Linked DNA regions of Danio rerio. The protein of the gene in region 1 purifies or fractionates together with the protein of each later gene. This does not show direct contact. Links are inferred from orthologs where the notes say so. Each region holds a gene or a part of one and is shown on either strand. Other genes may lie near its edges.

Region 1 (11,589 bases):
AATGTTTTCCCACATATTTGGTTCACCTTTCACCAATCAGTGTGAGGTTATGATGTTCTCCCCACCTACAGGCTCTCTTGCTGGGACATGCAGTGGCTTTACACAAAAAAAAAAATAATTAAAGAGTGAAGGACTTTGTTTTGATTTCACCAGTGACGGTTTGTGTAGGAGTTCTGAAATTCACTTGAGAATATTATTTGACATTCATACTTATAACCAAAAATACAAGTGATCAGATGTGTAAATTAAAAAGATAATTAAATTGCTGTATTAAAATTACTTCATTTTAAACACGATTACAATGCAACAATTAGTTCTGATTCTTGAATCTGATTGGCTGAGAAGCTTTTCTTGCTATGTGATGTTCCACCAGAATCACCAGACGAATCACTTCACAATTTGCTTCAATATTGCCTTCAGCATTGCTCACAATTAGTGTTGTGGTGGAAAAATGTTTTTTGAAATTAAAAAATACTAAAAAGTTAAAAATACAATACAGGGGAACAGCAGTTATTTAGACTTTATTTATAAATGTGGGGCCTATTAAAAAAATGTTTCAGATCATCAGTAGCTGTTCTTCGCTCATGTACTCATACAGGAAATATCCTTTCCTCAAACACTTCTTCTGGAATATATGCCAATGTATGCCTCTATATGCCGCTGTGGCGTAATGAATAAAAGATATGGCTCTGTAGTGGTTAAATGTGAAACAGAGTTCATTTTGAGTCTATTTGATGTCAGTATTTTGTTATTAATTTCAGAACAAACATTTTTGATTGAAGTTTGATTTTGATGCCGTTTCAATTTTAATGCCGTATTTTTGACTGATTGCCTTTTATAAATATTTATAATAACTTTTTTAATCATAGCTGATGTTTATTAAATATTATGCTAAATAAATATTCATTTATTAATTTTCTTTTCGGCTTAGTGTCTTTATTAATCTATGGTCGCAACAGCGGAATGAACCGCCAACTTATCCAGCACGTTTTACGCAGCGGATGCCCTTCCAGCCGCAACCTATCACTAGGAAACATCCACTCACATCCATTCACACACATACACTACGAACAATTTAGCCTACCCAACTGACCTATGGTGCATGTCTTTGGACTTGTGGGGGAAATCGGAGCACCCGGAGGAAACCCACGCGAACAAAGGGAGAACATGCAAACTCCACACAAAAACGGCAACTAACCCAGCCGAGGCTCGCACCAGCGACCTTCTTGCTGTGAGCCGACATCGCTTCACACTGCACCACTGTGCAGCCTCTCTCAATAAATAATCATTTCTATATTAATAGTGTTTATAAAAAAGTATTTTGTTTTATAAAATGTGTGTGCAGGCTACATATGCTTTGAAGACAATAGCAAAAAAAAAAAATGTTGATTTACAGAGATAGAAGCAAGGACAAAGCAAGGACATTATACTTTCAATAAAATGCAACCAATCTCGTCATGGGAGAAATAAATAGAAAGATTGCTTTCTGCCATTGACATATATGCTATTAACAACATGAGATTGTATGTGTAAACAAATAATCTAAAACAATGACATTTTATATAGGGCAAAATGTTTTTATCATAATATATATCACAAATGCAACAGGCTAATATCATAGACACTGTTTCTGTTCATAGACATATGGTGAAGATTATCCTTGACTATGACAAGTGTAACTACAGCCACTCTGAGGCTACTAGGCTCTTTTTAGCATATTATTTCTGCCATGTGCTTATTCGGGATCACTGCCACTGGAGAAAGACTTAATTTTAACGGCCATCCCCTTCAGTGTATAATATATATGAAGCTTACACTGTTATGAAATGAGCCTGGTTCATTGATGTCTACTGGCCAGTTAGAAAAACACATGACTTGTTAAAGTTGCTCTCATATTGCATCCATCTACAGTACATATCAATGAATATACAGTATTAATCACTCTCATTTTGAATACAAGAGCCTCTAAATACTACCTCCATCTTGACAGATTAGAATAGATTTGCATTTTGTATTGTTACAATTTCTCATAGAAACACTGTTCGTGTGTGTGTGTGTGTGTGTGTGTGTGTGTGTGTGTGTGTGTGTGTGTGTGTGTGTGTGTGTGTGTGTGTGTGTGTGTGTGTGTGTGTGTGTGTGTGTGTGTGTGTGTGTGTGTGTGTGTGTGTGTGTGTGTGTGTGTGTGTGTGTATATATAGTTCAGTGAGTGCGTAAATAGTAAATTTCAGTAGTAGAAGAATATTAATATAAATGTAAGGATATATATATGCTTTTTGCTTTTAAAAGCAAAGCAATTATATCTATATATATATATATATATATATATATATATATATATATATATATATATATATATATATATATATATATATATATATATATATATATAGATATATATATATATAGATATATAGATATAGATATAGATATAATTGCTTTGCTTTTAAAAATCGGATCCTGTGAATTTGGAGTTGATGAATGAACTCACCATTGAGACTTACATTTTCACTTCTTACCTCTTCTCTAAGAATTTTTTTTTTTTCTAACGAGCAATCACAATGCCTTGCTTTAAAACAACTAATGAAACGAAAAATGAACACAATCTAAAATCAGAGTGGTTGCTAAAAATATAATGGTGTTTGTGAGTTTGGTGGTCTTGCGGGCTGAGACTGTACAACAGCAATCAGATGTTGGTTCAGATTCTGCACTGGAGGAAGTCTTTCTTCTGGATTGCTGCCTTTTTTTAGCAGTGGGTATGCTATTTCTGACCGCTACTTTTGTAAAAGTGAAGACAAGTAATATTCTATTTCTGCTGATGGAAATAAGCCTAATATGATCCTCTGCATGGTTGCCTTTGCATAACATATTCTTGTCTTTCTGCACTGTAAAGACATCAATGTATGTTTTATTATTTAAATATACCAAGACATTTAAATGTCAAAGAAAAGTTATTATTAGAGACGTTAATTAGTGGTGTTGTTAATATCTAAATTTAATTATAGTTAATGAAATTGTAATTATGTTAAAGATAGCATTTCAATAGAAATGTACAAATAAAAAAACACCCAAAATATAATCATAAAGATTAAACCAATAAACCAATAAAATAATGTTTATTCAGTGGTTAGCACTCACACTTGCCTTACAGCAAAAAGGTCACTGGTTCGAGCCCCGGCTGGGTCAGTTGGCATTTCTGAAACATTTCTGAACATGAAAACGGAGTTTTCCCCGTATTGGCGTCAGTTTCCTCCACAGTCCAAAGAAATGCGCTATAAGTGAATTGAATAGACTACATTGGCTGTAGTGTATGTGTGTGAATGAGTGTGTATGGGTGTTTCCCAGTGATGGGTTGCAGCTAAACGGTCATCCGCTGCGTAAAACATATGCTAGAATCTAGAATAGTTGGCAGTTCATTCCGCTTTGGCGACCCCTGATGAATAAAGGGACTAAGCCGAAGGAAACTGAATGAATGAATAATTATAAAAATTCCTTTTCTGGCTTTTTAATATTATGCTTAGATGATAAAATTGTGTAGTTAGAAAAAAAATTGCATTTAGAAGTTGTTTTCTTTTTGACTTTATTATAAAAGTCATAATGATTATTTTATTATACTTTAATGTTTTTATTGCAACATTGCCTGATAGCAGAATGGATGTGCTCCCATGTGGAGTAATGCCACAAAGTCCTAATTGTGTGTGTTGGTTTATTTTCCCTCAGAATAGTTCACTGTACCTTTTGCATAATAATATTAAAACATATAAATAAATAAATAAAAATATATATTCACATAATTATATAAATATATAAAACAAAAGTGACATTATGTTATTTTTTATACCTATGTTTAAATGTTTTTATTAAAGCATTGCTTGATATATTTGTTTTATTTGCAAAAAAAGTTGACATGTTGGTATCAATATTTGTATACGATACAGAATATGAATTCAGTTGTCAATAAAAAAGATATAAGAGAAAGAAAGAAAGAAAGAAAGAAAGAAAGAAAGAAAGAAAGAAAGAAAGAAAAATGGAAAATAATATAATAATTATTATTTTATAATAATAGATATGTAATCATAATAATAGATTATTATGTTCTTATAAAAAACATGAAATAAACTTGAGGGTAAGACGTTTAAGAATCAATTACAAAATAAAAATTAAATAATGACTAAATTCTTGCAAAAAAAAAAAGGAAAAAATGGTTTGGCATTTGTAAATTTGAAAGGGACTAAGCCGAAAGAAAATGAATAAATGAATGAATTAGTAAATGTGCATTTGTGGAATGGAATTACAAATAAAATAAATAAAATTTATAACAAAACAAGCATTTCTTTTAGTAGAGAGAGATTCATAATAACCAAACATAACATCTTTAAAAGTAACTATCTTATTGTATATAATCATTAATAAATTATCCAATATGTTTCCAAAATTGTACAACATAATTACAATACCAAAATAAATAAAAAATAGTTTCAGTATGAAACTTGCAAAATTAACATTTTACATCAATATTAGGATTAAATTTTTTCATAAATTGTTAAATAGGATACAAATTGCTGAATAGGGTGACACGGTGGTGCAGTAGCACAAGAAGGTCGCTGGTTCAAGCTTGGTCAGTTGGCATTTCTGTGTAGAGTTTGCATGTCCTCCCTGTGTTTGTGTGGGTTTCCTCTGGATGCTCCGGTTTTCCCCACAGTCCAAAGCAAAATGCGCTATAGGTGATTTGGGTACGCTAAAATGTCTGTAGTGTGTTTTCCAGCATTGGGTTGCAGCTTAACTGGCATCCGCAGCAACATGTTGGATAAGTTGGCAGTTCATTCCGATGTTGTGACTCCAGATTAATAAAGGGACTAAGCCAAAAAGAAAATGAATGAATGAATGAATGAATGAATGAATGAATGAATGAATGAATTAATGAATGTGTGGATCATTTTAAAAGATACTTATTTGACTTTATTGGTGAGGACATATTTTTGTTGCAAAGACCATATTTTTCCCATTTCAAATCTTTCTATAAATTATTTCAATAGAAAATTACAAGTGACAATGTAACAACATTTTCAATAAAATGAGATCTAATTTTGTAATTTCTATATTTTTTTATGAGAAAAAAACATTTTTACCAACAAACATCTCTGTCGGATCAGAAATATAAACTTTTTTTAGGAGGGGGAAGTTTGCTATTTCATAGGGCATAGAAATTGCTGATGCACTGCTTGATATTTGGTCACAGAAATCACATGCGAAGTGACATCACAAATGACGACATACAGAATTTTATTTTATGTTTTCATTTTTTGTTTTCACTGTGAAGCATTTTTTTTACAGTACTCGTGTATTCAGTTAATTTTTATCTACATTTTTAATGTTTGAATATCTGATTTATTCTGCTGTAGAGCTAAATAAAAAGTCGAGCTCTAATATGAACTATCTGAGTTCCCGTTATTCCTCTGGCTTCCTCTAGAGCTTGAGTGTTGGAGTGTCCCGTCGCTCGCTCGCTTGCTCTCTCTCTCTCCTCGGGGAAGGCGGGATCGTATTAGCCGAGCAGGGCGTTCTTTCTGCGGTCACAGGCGGCGTAGTCCTTCTAGGGGTGGGTCTTTCTTGGCAAAGGAAAACCCACCTTTTTCATTGTTTGGATCTCGAAGGAATGTGATGGTTTGATCCTGCTGCGCAAGGGAGGGGGTGAGAGAAGGAACCAGCGCGGACCCTGCTGAGAACTGCTCAATTCATCCTCAAAAAGTCAAACGCGGTTTGCCCTTCCAGAGAGCTACCTCCGAAAACAGGTCTTCTCCGGGTGCTCAAGGTAAGAGAAATTTGTTGCTAGTTTTAGTGGAAGGGGAGCTGAATGGTGGAATATGGCCCCCTAGACACAACTCCAAACTGCGGCAACTTTGCCACCCTCCTCCCCCTCCTGTTCGCTGCAGCGGAGGAGCTCGATGATAAGCCGGACTGCGGCGATTTTAGTCCGGTTATTTAGTGGCTGGTGGAGGAATGATAGCGACGTAGAGATGCAGAAGTAAACTTAACTGGGACTTTCCAAACCGCGGGTGTTTGTAGCCGAGCGGTAACTGAAACAACCGATTTATGTTGTGATTTTTTTAGGCTAAACCAGAGATTCAGTAGGGGTTGTTCTACGTCAGCAGCATCACACTGTGTAGCGAAGTAAAGTTTACATTTGTAACATTTTTACCCGATTTGCACTTTGTCGCGCGCGAGCATTGAAATGTCAAACCGATTTACAATCCACGCCACGTACACCCAAGAATATAGTGAGTTTTCAGACAGGAAAAGTCGCTTTCTCTGAGAACAATACCGCAGACGTTGAAGGAATTTGGGTCGACGTGAGTCAAAGTCTAAATAGTTTGATTTTCTTCTTAAATAAAGCGGTTTTCCACGTGCCCTTGAAAGCGTTTTCTTCCTGCGTTTCTGCCGAATAAGCAAGCAAGATTCAGCGGTGTGGGACTGGGACGCTCATGTTCGCCTGTCAGATATCCCGTGTTAAATTTGGATTTCTGTATCGTAACGTGCAGCTTTTTTAACGCAGTGTCTGTCCTGACCAGCATTACTGTCGACGGTACTGACACGAATAGAAAATGTATTTCAAGTCATTGCTATTAATGTTGACAGCCGTTATTAGAGATGCGAAGTGCGTGCACACACACGCTGACAGACTCAATTAAACGCGTTTGATGTCTTTTAACAGAAGCTTAGCCTTAAATGGTTCATATTAAGGCTTTTATCAGAAGTGGGAAGTCCTGTTTTTGCCTTGGCCTAAAACCCAGGTGTTTATTATTTGTGACTTGCGTGCTGTGTGGGTACAGAACCAAGGGATGTCATGTGGAGGTCAGGCTGGTTTGGGCTTTGCAATTGCATTTGTGTATCTTGGTATGTTCATGTCTAAAATGTTTAATAATTTGGATCGTTTGAATCTCTTGACTAATTTGGTTTGCTTTGATTTGTTCAGACTTTTCCCTCAGGTTACATAAGTACGCCAGTAGGTGGCGAGAAGTAAGTCCTAGTACTCCACACTTCCTTACATAGTATGCATGAAGTATGCTAGTTAAGTAGAATAACTTAAAGTATAGTATTTATTAGCCCAGTGGTTCCCAAAGTAGGTTCACAGGGTAATGACAGGGGGTCGCTTGGTGGTTTACAAAAGTCAAATAAATTATATTAAACTATTAAAATAACCATATTTTATCCCTAACCCACAGAAAAGAGTAGTTAATAGTTGCATTTGAAACAAAGATGTCCAAAGTAGGCACGTGGGCCAAGGTTGGCCCATTGTAACCTTTGATTTGGCCCACCATTTCATCTTAGAGAAGCGAGTATGATGGTGATAAATCAAGGCAAAACAAGTGTAATTCTGTCATAAATGAGATTGTTCTGTTTTTATTGTTATAAGTTCATAAAAAATGTAAATGAAGAAACTGTATTAGTTAACAAATATATATATATATATATATATATATATATATATATATATATATATATATATATATATATATATATATATATATATATATATATATATATATTATATAAACTATAAAATTATCCAACTATATTTACCTCTGGCCCACTAGCCTCAATCAATTTTGTTTTTTTGCCCTTAATAGGAAAAAGTTTGAGCATCCCTAATATAAAACAAACAACATGCAAATGAAAAGCCATCTGCCTTTAAATGATTTTTTTTCATGGGATTGGTGTGCTTATGTTAGATTAACAACAAAGCATTAGCTGCAGCAGATTGATTTTATAGCACCAGGTTACACTTTCCGACGCCTTTATTAAAATCAAATACATTAAAAATAAATACAGACCACAACTGAATATTGAAAATTGATTTCTGATAGGCGTTTCCAAAATTAAACCAAGAATAGATGCTTAAAACCTTGTGTCCACCAGTCTCTATTGGTGAAGATAATAATAAATTAAACAAATTATTAAATGACTAAAAAAAATGACATGGTACATAGTTTTTTGTGTTGTCAATATGTTTGTTTTTATATAGGCCTATTGTTGTCTACATTTGTGTATTTATATTTTACACGTCTGAAGAATTTGAGGGTCGCAAGTCACTGGCATTGTTATTTTGGGGGTCACAGGCTGAAAAGTATGGGAACCCCTGCAAACGCCAAATAATAATTTACTTGCATATTTGACAGCTGCTGTTTATGGCATGTGAGCTAAGAAATCAAAGGTTTAAACTATCAAGTGAGATTTCCCGTTCATTTCAATGTTGATTTCACATGAACTTTAAAAATAGAAGTCTCTCATTTTGTATACTTTTGCATTATTTTGTGCGATTTTGTAGAACATGTTAGTTGAGTAGAGTGTTCACACTGAATATTCCATCAAGGAATAGTCTACTTGAACACTTGATTAAAAGAGTTTGGAATCTTGGACACATTACAGGCTTATTTGTAGAGTTTATACAATGTTAACGATTATTTCAGTAAAGGGACCTTTTTATTCCAGATCCAGATTCCAGATTTTTCTCATCAGTTTGTTTAATCTAAAGCAAGTAGACATATTTGCATTTTCACATAGTGTTTTGATTGACCTCTTGTCTATTTTCTAGCACTTATTTCTTTGAGATAAGGGTCTATTGACAAGTCACTCGTGTATGCATGCACAATATCTGATGAGAAGGAACTGTTGAAAAAGTTGTCGTTATTTTTCTTTTCTGTGTGCACAAAAGCATTCTTGTAGCTTGATAATATTCCAATTGAACCACTGAAGGCATGTAGTCTGTTTTGAGCTTCTGGACCTTTATGGACTTTGCACAAGTCAGGAATCTTGTGGTCTGTAGAGGACGATTCTCTCAGATTTAATATAAAATATCATAATTTCTATTCTGAAGGAGAACAAATGTTTCAGAGGTTTGGGACAACATGAGGGTCAGCAATCAATCATTGCATTATCATTTTTGGGAGAATTTACTCCTCTATACCAGGTGTAAACAGAAGCTACGAATGAAGTAAAGCACTTACATGCTAAAATAAATTGTCTTCAGGAATTAAAAATCAGTGTGTGAAAGAAAGCAAAAACAATTAATGTAATTATAAGATAACATTGATTCAAAAACAATTATTTATGAACAGAATTGTTTGTACACACACACACACACACACACACACACACACACACACACACACACACACACACACACACACTCACAAACGAGTCTGCATTTGTCAGGTAGGCTGCAGCGGTGACGGTTGGGGGGTTGGGAAACTGACATGAAAATAAAACACTAAGCACAGAAAGAACAGCAGCAACCCCCAATACAAGCTCCATTACATTAGGCAGGTGGGGCCCATAAAGCAAAGACGGGGAGGACGAGTGCAGAGAGGACCTGCCATGACCTGTCCCGACTTAAATGCAGAGCACTGACGGATTTCCAGTAAGGCCTGAGAGACAGCGCCTGTCAGGGAACACTTGTGTCAGTGTGTTCAGTATGAACAGTAAATTAGCCTTGTGAACTAAATACTGTTATGGATACTGGCACTTGATAGCTTATATGACACTTATATGACTCTATAGCTTTAGACTTGAATCTTGCACAAGCCCTGCCTTTGTGTTGATACAGGAATTTTATGGAGTGGAGATTAAATATTTGAACTTCATGTGAGTTTCTATGATAAAGTAGCATAGTTTGACAGACTGAATTGGAGTTGGTTCTGAATGGAAGTCAGGCCGTGAGGTTGTTTAAAACCAAAGGACGATTCTGGAATGCCAGGAGTTAAAAGTTTAAAGTTTAACACTGTTTTAATTTAGAGTTTTGCTGTACCTATCTTGTTGCATTTTAGTGTGATCTTTAAAGCTTCTCAGTGCTGGGTTGTCATCATAAAAAAGTCACATGTTGTTCTGCTACTCATGCATTTAGGGAAGCAAAAGAAAAAAATATATTGCACAATAATTAATGCTAATAGTATTTATTTTATTTTAAATCTATTCAATTCAGGTTTATTTCTATAGCGCTTTTACAATGTAGATTGTGTCAAAGCAGCTTAACAAAGAATTGAAACTGTGTCAGTCCAGTTGTCAGAGTTCAGTTTAGTTTAGTTCAGTTCTGTGTGGTTTAATATTCACTGCTAAAAAAGTCCAAATACTGAAGAGCAAATCCATCAATGCCCAGCTCCACAAGCCCCAACCAAACAAGCCAGTGGCGAGGATCAAACTTCAGCAAATTGACGAAAGTAAAGGGAAAAAAAATTGAGAGAAACCAGGCTCAGAAATATATAATTGGCTTGTTTATATTTAAATCAAATATTTTATTTATACATTTAAAAAATACTGTTCAGTCATTTTAGGTTGGAGAGTTTTTACAAAATGATTTTAATGCTTTCATTTGTTAAAAAATAGAATAAAATAAAATGTAATCATTGATTCTATAATTGGATTTTTGTATCGTAACGTGCAGCTGTTTTTGACGCAGTGTCTGTCCTGACCAGCATTACTGTCGGCGATACTGACACGAATAGAAAATGTATTTCAAGGCATTGCTATTAATGTTGACATCCGTTATTAGAGATCTGAGGTGCATTCACATACGTGTTCTCACTCTTTGGATGTACATGATTACGTAGGGCTGGGCCACTTGGCATAAAAATAAAATCTTGAATAATTGAACATTTTAAATCAATTACAGTTAATAAACAATTATTTTATTTATTAAAAAAGGTCTTTTATTTCACTGACAAGTATAGTAAATATGCTCACATATTACAAGGGAGAGATTTCTGAATGAAGGGTGTATTACTTGATATTAAGTTATTTGAAGGAAACACACACCAGCTACTATCTATGATTATTTATTGAACCATCCTCCTTGAACAACTGAAATTGAAAACGCATGTTGCCTAAAACCAACAGTCACTTTTTTTCGAAAATGTTAAAATAAATCAGCTGCGTATATTTGAGCATGCAGTAAGTTTTGTGCATGAACGTTCACGCGCTCATACTACATCATTGCACTCTCAGCTTGTAATACTGTGCTCACAACATTTGTCATTGAAATAACTCCATAGAGATCAAATATGGCTGGAAAGTGCTGAACCTTTTTCAGTTTTGTGGGGTCATGTGATTCGAAAGGAAAAGTAGTCAACGAATCGACATGGAAAAAGAGCTCGATTAAAGGTTCTGAATGTCGATTTCAGTTAATCACTCAGCCTTATGATTATGTAATCAATGATGTTGAATTGGAGCTCTAGAAAAGTCATTTAAAGTCAGAACATTTGGGCTGTTCGATGATTTTCTGTAATAACGATTTTGTGCTTGTATTTATGTAAAAGTAACCCCAGCAACATGGAGTACTAAATACTTTACTGTGTTTGGTTACCACTTATTTTTGAAAAATCAGTGGAGAGCCACTGTACTGGAGTATGTTCAGCTGGAGATCTGAAGCTGGATGTATTTGCTCTCTGCCAAATGCCGACAGACACTCTTTGTGTTGCTCTTCTATTACATATTATCTCTTTCTGTCTTGTGTGTTTCATGACCTGCAATGTTGTTTCACTTGTCTCTCACCTTAAAAGAGCAAAGGTTGATTTCTGATGAGCCATTCTTGGTTATAAAATA
Region 2 (10,958 bases), on another chromosome or scaffold:
TAGAAAACAAGGTAATGGAGGTGGAGTTGCTACTTTTATTAAACAAGGTGTAGGATATAGGAATGTTGAGGTGGTGGTGGATCAGGAGGTGGTTTCAATAGAAGTTTGGGAAGGGTGTTGTAATATTAAGGTAATTAATTTTTACAATCCATGTGAAAAATTATGTAAAGAAAAATTAGAAGTCATAAGAGGTAACATTAGTCAGAAAGTAGTATGGTGTGGTGATTTTAATGCTCACAATACTTTATGGGGAAGTGATAAATCGGACAGTAACGGATTGATAGTGGAAGAAATGTTAGATTGGGGACAATTAGTATGTATGAATAATGGGTGTTACACAAGAGTTGATTTGTCTCATGGACGTAAATCAGTTTTAGATATTACCCTTGTGACAGGAGAATTAGCTAGGAAATGTGAGTGGAAAATATATAAACACAGTACCTTGGGAAGTGATCACTATCCAATATGGTGTAAAATTGGGGTGGACATCATCAACACTCCGATAGAGAGAATTTTAAGATGGAAATTTAACGATGCTAACTGGGAGCTTTTTAGAGATGTATGTCATGATAAAATGTGGGAAATGGTCAATGACAATGATAACATAGAAGAGTTAAATGAAAAAATAAGTGAAATATTAAGAAAAACTGCAGAGGAAGTTATTGGTAAAAAGAAAAATGTAAACAATAAAAAAGCAGTTCCGTGGTGGAATAAAGAATGTAGTAATGCAGTTAGGGAGAGAAATAAAGCAATGAAGAAAGCCAGGAGATCAGTATTGTTCAAGGATTTTATTAATTATAAGAAAGCTCAGGCAATAGTTAGGAGAGAAATAAGAAAAGCAAAAAGACTTTACTGGAGAGAATTCTGTAATAGAATAGGGGAGGAAATTGAAATTAATGAAGTTTGGAATATGATCAGAAGGATGGGAGGAATTCAGAAAAATAATAACATTCCTGTTTTAATTAGTAATGGAAAAATAGCAGTTAATAATGATGATAAAGCAGAAATGTTGGTGGAATCATTTGCAAAAATTCATAGTAATGAAAATATTTCAGATGACATGAGAAAAATCAGGGAACAGAAAATTAGGGAAAAATCTCATATATATGAAAAGAAGGATACATCAGGAAGTTTATTAGACTCAGAGTTCACATTATATGAGTTAAAAAGAGCTATCTCAGGGGTTAAACATACTTCTCCGGGAAAAGATGACATATGTTATGAGATGATTAAACATCTGTCAGATGTATCTTTGAACACCATTTTGATTTTGTTTAACAAAATTTGGGTGAAAGGAAGTTTGCCAGTAGATTGGAAACATGGGGTTATAGTGCCAATAGCCAAACCTGGAAAAGATCATTCTCAGCCAACTAGTTATAGACCTATTGCATTGACATCAAATTTATGCAAAATTATGGAACGGATGGTTATGGATAGATTGGTTTTTGTATTAGAAAGTAGAAACATTTTTTCAGCATGTCAAAGCGGATTCAGAAAAGGAAGAAACACAATGGACTCAATCTTGTGTTTAGAAAATGAAATTCGAAAGGCACAAATAGGGAAAGAGGTACTTGTGGGAGTGTTTTTCGATGTGGAAAAAGCTTATGATATGTTGTGGAAAGAAGGTCTTCTCTTAAAATTGGAAAACATGGGAATAGATGGGAGAATGTACAATTGGATTCTGAGTTTTTTATTTGGTAGAACGATTCAAGTAAGAGTAGGGACTGCATTGTCTAAGATTCTTCCAATTGAGAACGGCACACCTCAAGGAAGTGTGAGTAGCCCAATTCTGTTTAACATAATGATAAATGACATCTTTCAAAATATAGAATCAGGAATAGGAAGATCACTGTACGCGGATGATGGAGCGATATGGAAAAGAGGACGAAATGTAACATTTGTAGAAAATAAAATGCAAATAGCAGTGAATAAAGTTGAGAGTTGGGCTAATAAATGGGGCTTTCGGTTTTCTGTTGAAAAAACGCAAGTAATATGCTTCTCGAAAAAAAAAAGCAATCCAGTATTAAACATCAAAATGTATGAAACGCGGTTAGGGCAAGTAAATGTAATCAGATTTTTAGGTTTATGGATGGATAATAAATTAACATTTAAAATTCATATTGAGAAATTAATTGAAAAATGTAAAAAAGGAATAAATGTATTAAGGTGTTTGGCTGGAGTTGAGTGGGGTGCCAGTAGTACAGCATTAAAAAGAATTTATAATGCTGTGATAAGGTCAAACATTGATTATGGGTGTATGGTGTATAGTTCTACTAATAAAACATTGATTAAAAAAATAGAGGTCATACAAAATCAAGCTCTGAGGATATGTTGTGGTGCTTTTAGATCTTCTCCAGTGGCATCATTACAAGTTGAAATGGGAGAGATGCCATTAGAACATCGAATGTCTCAGCTGAGAATGAGATATTGGATAGGAATAAAAGGTCATTTGGAAAACCATCCTGTTAGATGTCTTTTAAAAGATTGCTGGGAGTATGTGTACAAAGAAATAGCAAGTTTTGGTTGGGTAGTAAGAAAGGAAATAAACAGTTTAGAATGGAAAGATCTGGAAGTTGCTCCATCTGTCATTATACCAACAATTCCCCCATGGGTGTTTCCTATGCCAGTAGTAGATCTGCAAATTCATGAAAGAATTCAAAACAAGGAGATAATTATTCCAACTAAATTATTAGTTCAAGAATATATCCAACAGAATTATTATTCTGTATTACAAATCTTTACAGATGGGTCGAAGGAACCTAAGTGTGGAAGAACTGCTGCTGCTGTATATATTCCACAATTTAACATCAAAATTGCAAAGAGATTATCAGATCACGTGTCAGTGTTTACCTCTGAATTATTAGCTATTATTATAGCACTTCAATGGATTGCAGAAGTCCAACCAGAAAAAGCAGTAATTTGTTCGGACTCAATGGCTGCACTTAAAAGCCTTCAAAGTGCCAAATCTGAAGCTAGACAAGATTTAGTATTTGAAATTTTACAAAATTTATTCACAATTAGGCAGTTAAGAATAATGGTTTCATTTCTCTGGGTACCGGCACATGTGGGTGTAGATGGGAATGAGGAAGCTGATATGCTAGCAAAAAAAGCTTTAAATAATGAGCAAATAGAAATTAAATTAGCATTAAGTAAAACAGAATTTAAAAGAATGATTGCAGTCGAAATATATAAGAAATGGCAACAGGTGTGGAACAAGGAGACCAAAGGAAGACATTTATATCAGATTCAGGAATTTGTAGGAAACGGGAGGAAAAGATACGGATATCGAAGGAAAGATGTCATCATAACAAGACTAAGGATAGGCCATACGTCATTAAATTACAGCTTGTATAAAATAGGAAAGCATGAATCAGGGAAGTGTGATAATTGTGGAGAGTTGGAAACAGTCAATCATATAATTTTAGAATGCCCAGCTTATGAAAGAGAGAGGTTTGATTTAATACAAGAATTAGGACAGCTGGAAGATAAGGTAATTTCTTTGAAAGTATTGCTAGGAAACGGGCTTAGACAATCAAAAATTCATGAGATATTAATTAAATATTTGGGAAATATAGGAATAATGCATAGAATTTAGTTTTTTTTTTTTTTTTTTTTTTCTTTTTTTTTTTTTTTTTTTTTTTTTTTTTTATATATATAATTTAATATAGTCATTTAATGTATATATAAGTGTTTTCCTTCTACTCCAATTATGTACAATCCACACTCCAGATCAGTAGGTGGCGGTAATGCACCTATTTTTGTTGGTTTGCCAAACCGCCATAAAACACCAGAAGAAGAAGAAGAAGAAGAAGAATGCGGCGACGTTAAGGTATGTAAAAAACTCTCAGCGTTTGTTTTTTATCCACAATTCGTTCTTTTGGATACTATTATTTATATGGTAGATAATATCCTGTATATGTATTCCGTTATTTGTCAACGAACGTAGCTTGCTCGTTGATCGCTAGTCGTTTCTTTTACAAGTTAGCCAGATGGCTACCTGGAATTAGTGCTTCGGTAACGTTAACGTTAGATATGTTGTGGATTATAAATATATATGTATGTTATTTTGTATTCGTCTCACGAACTCTTTCGTAACTTTTCAACTTATTTTCGACTGTGACACTAAAATAAGCTAAGTTAGTTGTTATCTTAACGTATTAAGGCTTGATATACACTTATTGCAGATTCCGAGATGTTTGTAATTTCTACTGGACTGTAACTTAGTAATGATATATTATCTACTGTTAAAGATCTTTGATATAGACAGAAAAGTAAAAAAAAAAAACTGGCAACCCTCTACTGTGGGTAATGACGTAAGTAGGAATAAAATGTGCAAATTATGCTAATGCAAGTTCACATTCCCATGTCTATTTAAAGTCCGTTTTTCTGAGGTTAAAGCAAATACTGAAGTATGTTGACTTTCCACAACACTGACAAACCATTTATAGCCATTGTCATTAAAGTGTCAGCATCTGGTTTAGTCAAAATTGTTCAATTAAGTCTTATCAACTCAGGTTTTTGTTTCCTTTCTAACAGGCTCATTAATTTGAAGTCAGCAAATCATGGCTGGCTTCAGGCAGGAGGATGTGGAGATCTACTATGACATGGGAGAGGAGTTAGGAAGGTAAGAGATGCCATTTCACTCCTTGAAACTCTACATCTACTTAAATCATTTTACATATAATAGATAAAACAATGATTAAAATTCAAATTAGCAAATCAATGCTTCAAAAACTATTTTTATTTTTGATGAAGAAATCAGTAAAGTTCTGTAATGATGTAGAATTTAAAGGAATAGGTCATACTGTTTGTCCTAGAGTTGCCAAGGCAATGTAGTGTTTGTGCTTATCAGTGCAGAACAAAAACAAACATTATGAAAGCCCTGCAATTTAAAAAAAGCCCAGCACACTCACTTAATCATCTGCAAACACTGAATCAAGCCTAGTCTTTCTTCCTATATATGGATGTAGAGGTTTCTGCTGCAGCATGACATCACTGCTTTAAAATGCACATGCTCAGTGTCTGAGCCTGAGAACAGCTGTACTGCAAAAGAGACTATAGTGAGGCTATGAGAAAAATACACAAGGACAGTAACTAATGATCCATACAGTGTTTATTTTTTTAAGAATAGAGAGCTCCACATCATAACTTTAACATTAACAGCACAGAAGAACAACATTGTTTGAGTCACTTTAAGATGCTGATGCTGCTGATGATTTCCAGCTGATGGATGATAAAAACATTGGCAGCCAGACCTGCTTTTATCAGCTCAAGTATTTAAAGCCACAGATGACAGAACAACTTTATTATAAATAGTACTTAAATGTGCAATGGAGGATATGCTAAAATGGTTATTGCTCATGGTTTAATAAAGTCTTTATTCAAATTTACAGTAAATGTTTTATTTTGTGCAATGTTTGTACTTCGTTTATGTCATTTTTTGCATTTAGGCTTGTTTCTTAAACAACTTTCAAAAATTGGTGATGTAGCCTTATATTTAGTCAAATTTAACGTATCTGTTTTTAAGACTTTATGTATAAGTATATTTTTATTACAATTTTGTGAATCACTTATAACAAAGTAAACAAACAAAAGGTCAACCAAATGCAGATATGTCAATGTGTTGTACAAACTATAGTTTCACCTTTCCAAATCTATAGTCAAGAGTGTAATAATTTGTCAAACTTTATCATAACAGTGTGATCTATTTATTTATTGTTATCTAATTCGTCAACATGATGTGAGTGAATTGTAGAGCTGGTACTAACACATATTATGTCCAGGTGCTTTCTTAAATGCTGTTTTCTCATAGCATTTTATTGGATTAAATTTGTTATTGAGAGGCAAGTGCTTTTTATTAGTTATAGCTAGTGCTTAATTTGTAAATGAACAATTTCTAGAAACAAAACCAGGAAATAAAAGTTAGAGTGACAGACGCCCACCAACTAAGCGGTTATATAAAAAAAAGCATCACATTTCTGAACAGTCTTTAATTATTTGTGCAATATAACGTTATAGGTCAACCATGGATCAAACAAACATGTTACTACAAACATAAATCGTATGAAACATCACTTTTCAGTTTACTAACATCACATTCAGTTCACTTCACTATTGAAGATGACCCACTCTGTCTAATATTCAAGAAGAGCCCAGTTTCCTTTCCGTCATGTTTTCTGGCTGACTTGAGTTTGCTTCTGTCTCCTGCTATCCTGATCCAGGGGTGCAGTTTCATCTTCTCTTGATCAGACTCATTGTCTTATTTACTTGTAATTTTTAAACAAATAATATATGCTTTACTGCCTCTGGCATTTTGAAAATACAAATATCATTTGGGTAAGCCACAATACCATTGTTTATTTTTCGCTGCTCACTGTGCGCGAAACAATAATCACCAACCAATGAGAGTGATTGTAAATGTAAGAAAGCTGATTGGTCAAAAGTGGCTTATTTCTGCATGAAAATGGCAATGCACAAATTCAGACAGTAGTTCACTTAATGGCCACTAGTATCGATAATAACAAGGTATTCCAACACAATCTCACAGCAATTCGTAACTTTTTGATTTATTGGCTAATTCATATGAATTCGTATGATCTAATTCGTATAATTTAGTTTGATTTGCGCATCCCCCAATGACGGTCGGGGTTAGGTGCCACGCCTCCTTTTTAAAATCGTACAATTTCGTACGACTGAACTCATACGGATTTGTACGAATTAGCCACTAAACTGGCAAAACGTAAAATACTTACGTTTCCTCGTGACATCAGGCTGGGTATTCTGTACACCACTGTTTCCCAATCCTGTTTTCGAAGGCACACCAACAGTATTGACTCTCTTCCTATTTAAACACACTTGAATCAAATCATCAGAACATTAGAAGAGAACCTGAAATGTTACCTCGTAAACCTGAAATGAATGCTTCAGATAAGTGAGGCCATGTCCACACACACACGGGTAGTTTTATGAACAGTTTTCCTAGCTTTTGTTTTTTTAAATAAATCTCTGTCCACATGAAATAGCAAAAATGCATTGTGATGCATGTTATAGGGATGCCGAATCAACAGGTGGCGATAATGACACTTATATTCAGCTCACACCAGATGGGAAATTCATTATATTACACGAATACATTGCATTCAAGTTTATGCAAACGTGAGTTCAGAGGCGCAACAATGCAGAATACACGATTAATTTGCTGCAAATGCGCAGAATTGGCCTCATTCACGTTTTCCCTGTTTGGAGTGAACCCAGCCGTGTTGGCCAATCAGAGAAGAGAAAACAGCAAAATATGTACTGTTGGTGTGCCTCCAGGAACAAGGTTGGTAAAAACGGCTGTACTCTACTACGCGTTGCCCCTGAAGGCTATACCCTATGACTACACATTAGGAGCGAGTGTTTAGTAAAATCATTCAGATGCAGTGATGTACAACAACATTTTATGACCTGACAGGTTACGAGGAAAATGCATTATATTCCAGAATAAAAACATGGCCAAAGGAAAACAATAATAGTTTTACTGCATTCAGAGCATCTCTCTCTCTTCTCTCTTTCTTATAAGAGTTTAATATTACAAGCCAAGAATATTTGTAACACATACAGGTTCAATTTCAGCACTGGGAAACCAGGGGGCCTGGTCACCCCATGTGTGGGACTGAATTATAAAGCCTAAAAAAATGCATCGTATCATATGAAAGCAAAAATTGCACGTTGTATATCCTATTCAAACTATTACAACATCATAATTTTCCCCTTTTTAATTGTTGTTTTTCTCTGCTTCAATTTACTGTGTTTCCCAGTGGCCAGTTTGCCATTGTGCGTAAATGCAAAGAAAAGAGCAGCGGAACTGAATATGCTGCCAAGTTTATCAAGAAGAGGCGTCTGTCCTCCAGCAGACGAGGCGTGAGCCGGGAGGAGATTGAGCGCGAGGTGAACATCCTTCGGGAGATTCAGCACAGCAACATCATCACACTCCATGACATCTTTGAGAACAAGACCGATGTGATCCTGATCCTGGAGCTGGTGTCTGGAGGAGAGCTCTTTGACTTTTTGGCTGAGAAGGAGTCACTTACTGAGGAGGAGGCCACGCAGTTCCTCAAGCAAATTCTGGACGGAGTTCACTACCTCCACTCTAAACGCATCGCTCATTTTGACTTGAAGGTACAATACTGTTTTGTTTTTTATGGGATACCGTGGATAAAAAAAAACTTGTATGGTTTGATAACTTAAATTATGTCTCTTACTAAAATATGTAGTTGAAAACCAATAAAAGATTTAAGCTATTTAAAAAAACATAAAATCTTGACTTAGAGGGTAGGGATGTAACGGTATTGTAAATTTTTAATTTTAATTTAAAAAAATATTAATTTTTTTCGATATTACCGAAGTCGCATGACTCGGTAAAACTATAGATCTTCTGAGAAAATTTGCTCAGGCGAATGAAGCGAACGGGAGGTAGCGGAAACTACAATTCCCATCAGCCCATGCTTGACCATCATCCCTTGCGGTCTGTTGTCGCTACAGATCCAGTAATGCGGAAATGGAGTGTGCTGCTAGAAGCGGGGATGAAAAAGAGCTGGAAAACTCTAAAGCGGGTGTTGTTGCGGCGCGCGTACTGAATAGCGGTGTTGTCGCGCGAGTTCTTATCAGCTGTGTTGTCGCGCGCGTACTGAATAGCGGTGTTGTCAGCACACTGTTCAGATTGATGCAGACATGAGACCTCTATCTTACTCATGGTTTGTCCTCTCAAGTGGGGGAAAGACAATGCACAACGTTACCCACTGCTGTCAACCTGGGCCAAGTCATATCTCTCTTGTCCCAGAAACCTCAGTCCCAAATGAGAGGGTTTTTTTTCTGTTGCAGGGGACATTGTAAATGCCCAGAGATACCAGCTTTTACCAGATTATATTTATATGATAATTTTCCTTTAAACCCATCTCTATCTAAGTGAGTGAGTGATTAAATGTTGAATGTGATGAGTTTTCAACAATACTAAATTGAAACTTTATTTTTTTACATGGTTTAATATTTTTTTGTTATTAAAATTGAAGTTCCTGTTTCAAAGCTTACAGATAGATGGCTAATTTGTATGTCATTGACACTTTTGGCACTTTTTTGGAGTATTTTCATAAGTTTTGTTTTTTTCTGTAAATGATTCAATAAATACCGTACCGTGACATTCATACCGAGGTATTACCGTACCGTGAAATTCTGATACCGTTACATCCCTATTAGAGGGTCATTAATTTAGTTGTACAGTACTTGAAATCCGAAAGTTGCTCACGGTGAACTACTAGCACTGTTTGTTTCCTTTTTTATGGCAACACAACTTGGGAGTTCAAAACAGTAATACAATGCCACATTGTTGGGATTTTTTGATGTAATTTTCAATTGAAGGGTATCAATATTCAGTTGAAGTTCTAACTCCTGTTTGTGTTGACCACCAAAAGATAAAAGTTTTATTGTACCTTTATTTTTATTTAGACCAAAGAGCTTAGAATGACCAAGAGGCGACACTCAATAGAACGTTCCATTGCAACAGCAGCGCCCAGCAACAGCCCCAGATTCCGCCATTTTGGAGTGAAAGTGATCGGCCGTCCATTGGATCTCATTACTGTCGCGATGGCAAGCAGCTGCGTTGTTTTTAATTAATTTATTTAAAAACCCCATTAAAGCAGAGATACAACCTGAAAGACGACAATACAATATTTGTTATCAAAATCATCAGCACTTTTAATAGCTTATTTTACTGACTTATAATATGCTGTTGTTCTATTGGAGTTTTCATTCCAAAATGGTCCCCGCGCCCTCTAGTGGCTGTTTCCCAAATTACAATAGAGTGTCGCCTCTTGGTCATTCTAAGCTCTTTGTTTAGACAAAGAAAACATGAATAAAATGTAAATATTAAAAGCCATAAATATTAGTGGAATATTTTCTAAATATTTTCTACTACATATTTTGGTAATAGACATATTTTTTATTAAATGAAGCTATACAAGTTTTTGCTCTTTTGTTAACGTAGATGCACGAAGACTCTCAATATTTTACATGTATTACAATAGTCTTGTCTCACTGTGTTTTTCAGCCTGAAAACATAATGCTGTTGGATAAAAATGTGCCGAACCCCAGAATCAAGTTGATCGATTTTGGAATTGCACATCAGATTAAGGATGGAAATGAATTTAAAAACATCTTTGGAACTCCTGAGTTTGTTGGTAGGATTTTAAGCTGCGTTTAGCTCTTAGTTATGATAACATTTATTAAAAAGTCTTAAATTTCCAATATCTTCCATAGCACCGGAAATTGTAAATTATGAACCCCTTGGGCTGGAGGCAGATATGTGGTGAGTCAATCGTTTAGTTGTTTAATTTACATTGCAACTCTAAGATGTTCGGTTCACAATTAGTCATGATTTATTTGTTTTCTTTCCTGCAGGAGTATCGGAGTTATCACTTATATACTGTAAGTAGTTGTTATCATGTTTGGCTGTATTGATCACATTGTATTTGGCTTGACAAATATTAATGCATTATTTACGCTTCTTAGCTTGAGTGGGGCTTCTCCATTTCTTGGTGAGACCAAACAAGAAACACTTACCAATATTTCAGCAGTCAACTATGACTTTGACGAAGAGTACTTCAGCAACACAAGTGAACTCGCGAAGGACTTCATTCGCCGACTGCTCGTCAAGGATCCCAAGTTAGTAGTATAAACCAATGTGGTCACTGAAATAAAACAAAACAGAAATATTGCATTATAAGCTTTTTCCACTCTCAAGCTGAACGTCAGGTACGTTTTCAGGTGTGTTTCAATGTGAGCCTTGAACAGCATGGCAACAAACCATTATAAGCCCAGAACTCTTGGCATGGTTAGCCAACTGTGTTGGGCTGGTAGAGCTTGTGTGCACATGTCATCACCAGTCTGTTTTCTGGCTACCAGTTTCTACATAGCTGGCTAGG

Evidence for each region. Proteins that work in one complex are often made in the same cells at the same time.
Region 2: the proteins of luzp1 (region 1) and dapk3 purify together in Homo sapiens (affinity purification with mass spectrometry; 3 studies listed by BioGRID and IntAct, with this or other methods). This does not show direct contact. The link is inferred for Danio rerio from reciprocal best matches to the Homo sapiens genes LUZP1 and DAPK3.

The regions. Positions count from the first base shown.
Region 1 is NC_133192.1:29,483,394-29,494,982, forward strand, and holds the start of luzp1 (leucine zipper protein 1), read left to right. Parts: upstream 1-5,614; 5' UTR 5,615-5,806; intron 5,807-5,920; exon of another isoform or gene 5,921-6,888; intron 6,889-6,967; exon of another isoform or gene 6,968-7,011; intron 7,012-11,589.
Region 2 is NC_133177.1:40,498,610-40,509,567, reverse strand, and holds part of dapk3 (death-associated protein kinase 3), read left to right. Parts: intron 1-3,729; 5' UTR 3,730-3,829; intron 3,830-4,536; 5' UTR 4,537-4,562; coding exon 4,563-4,624; intron 4,625-7,799; coding exon 7,800-8,160; intron 8,161-10,084; coding exon 10,085-10,214; intron 10,215-10,293; coding exon 10,294-10,342; intron 10,343-10,434; coding exon 10,435-10,461; intron 10,462-10,545; coding exon 10,546-10,698; intron 10,699-10,958. UniProt on the Homo sapiens protein: Serine/threonine kinase which is involved in the regulation of apoptosis, autophagy, transcription, translation and actin cytoskeleton reorganization. Involved in the regulation of smooth muscle contraction.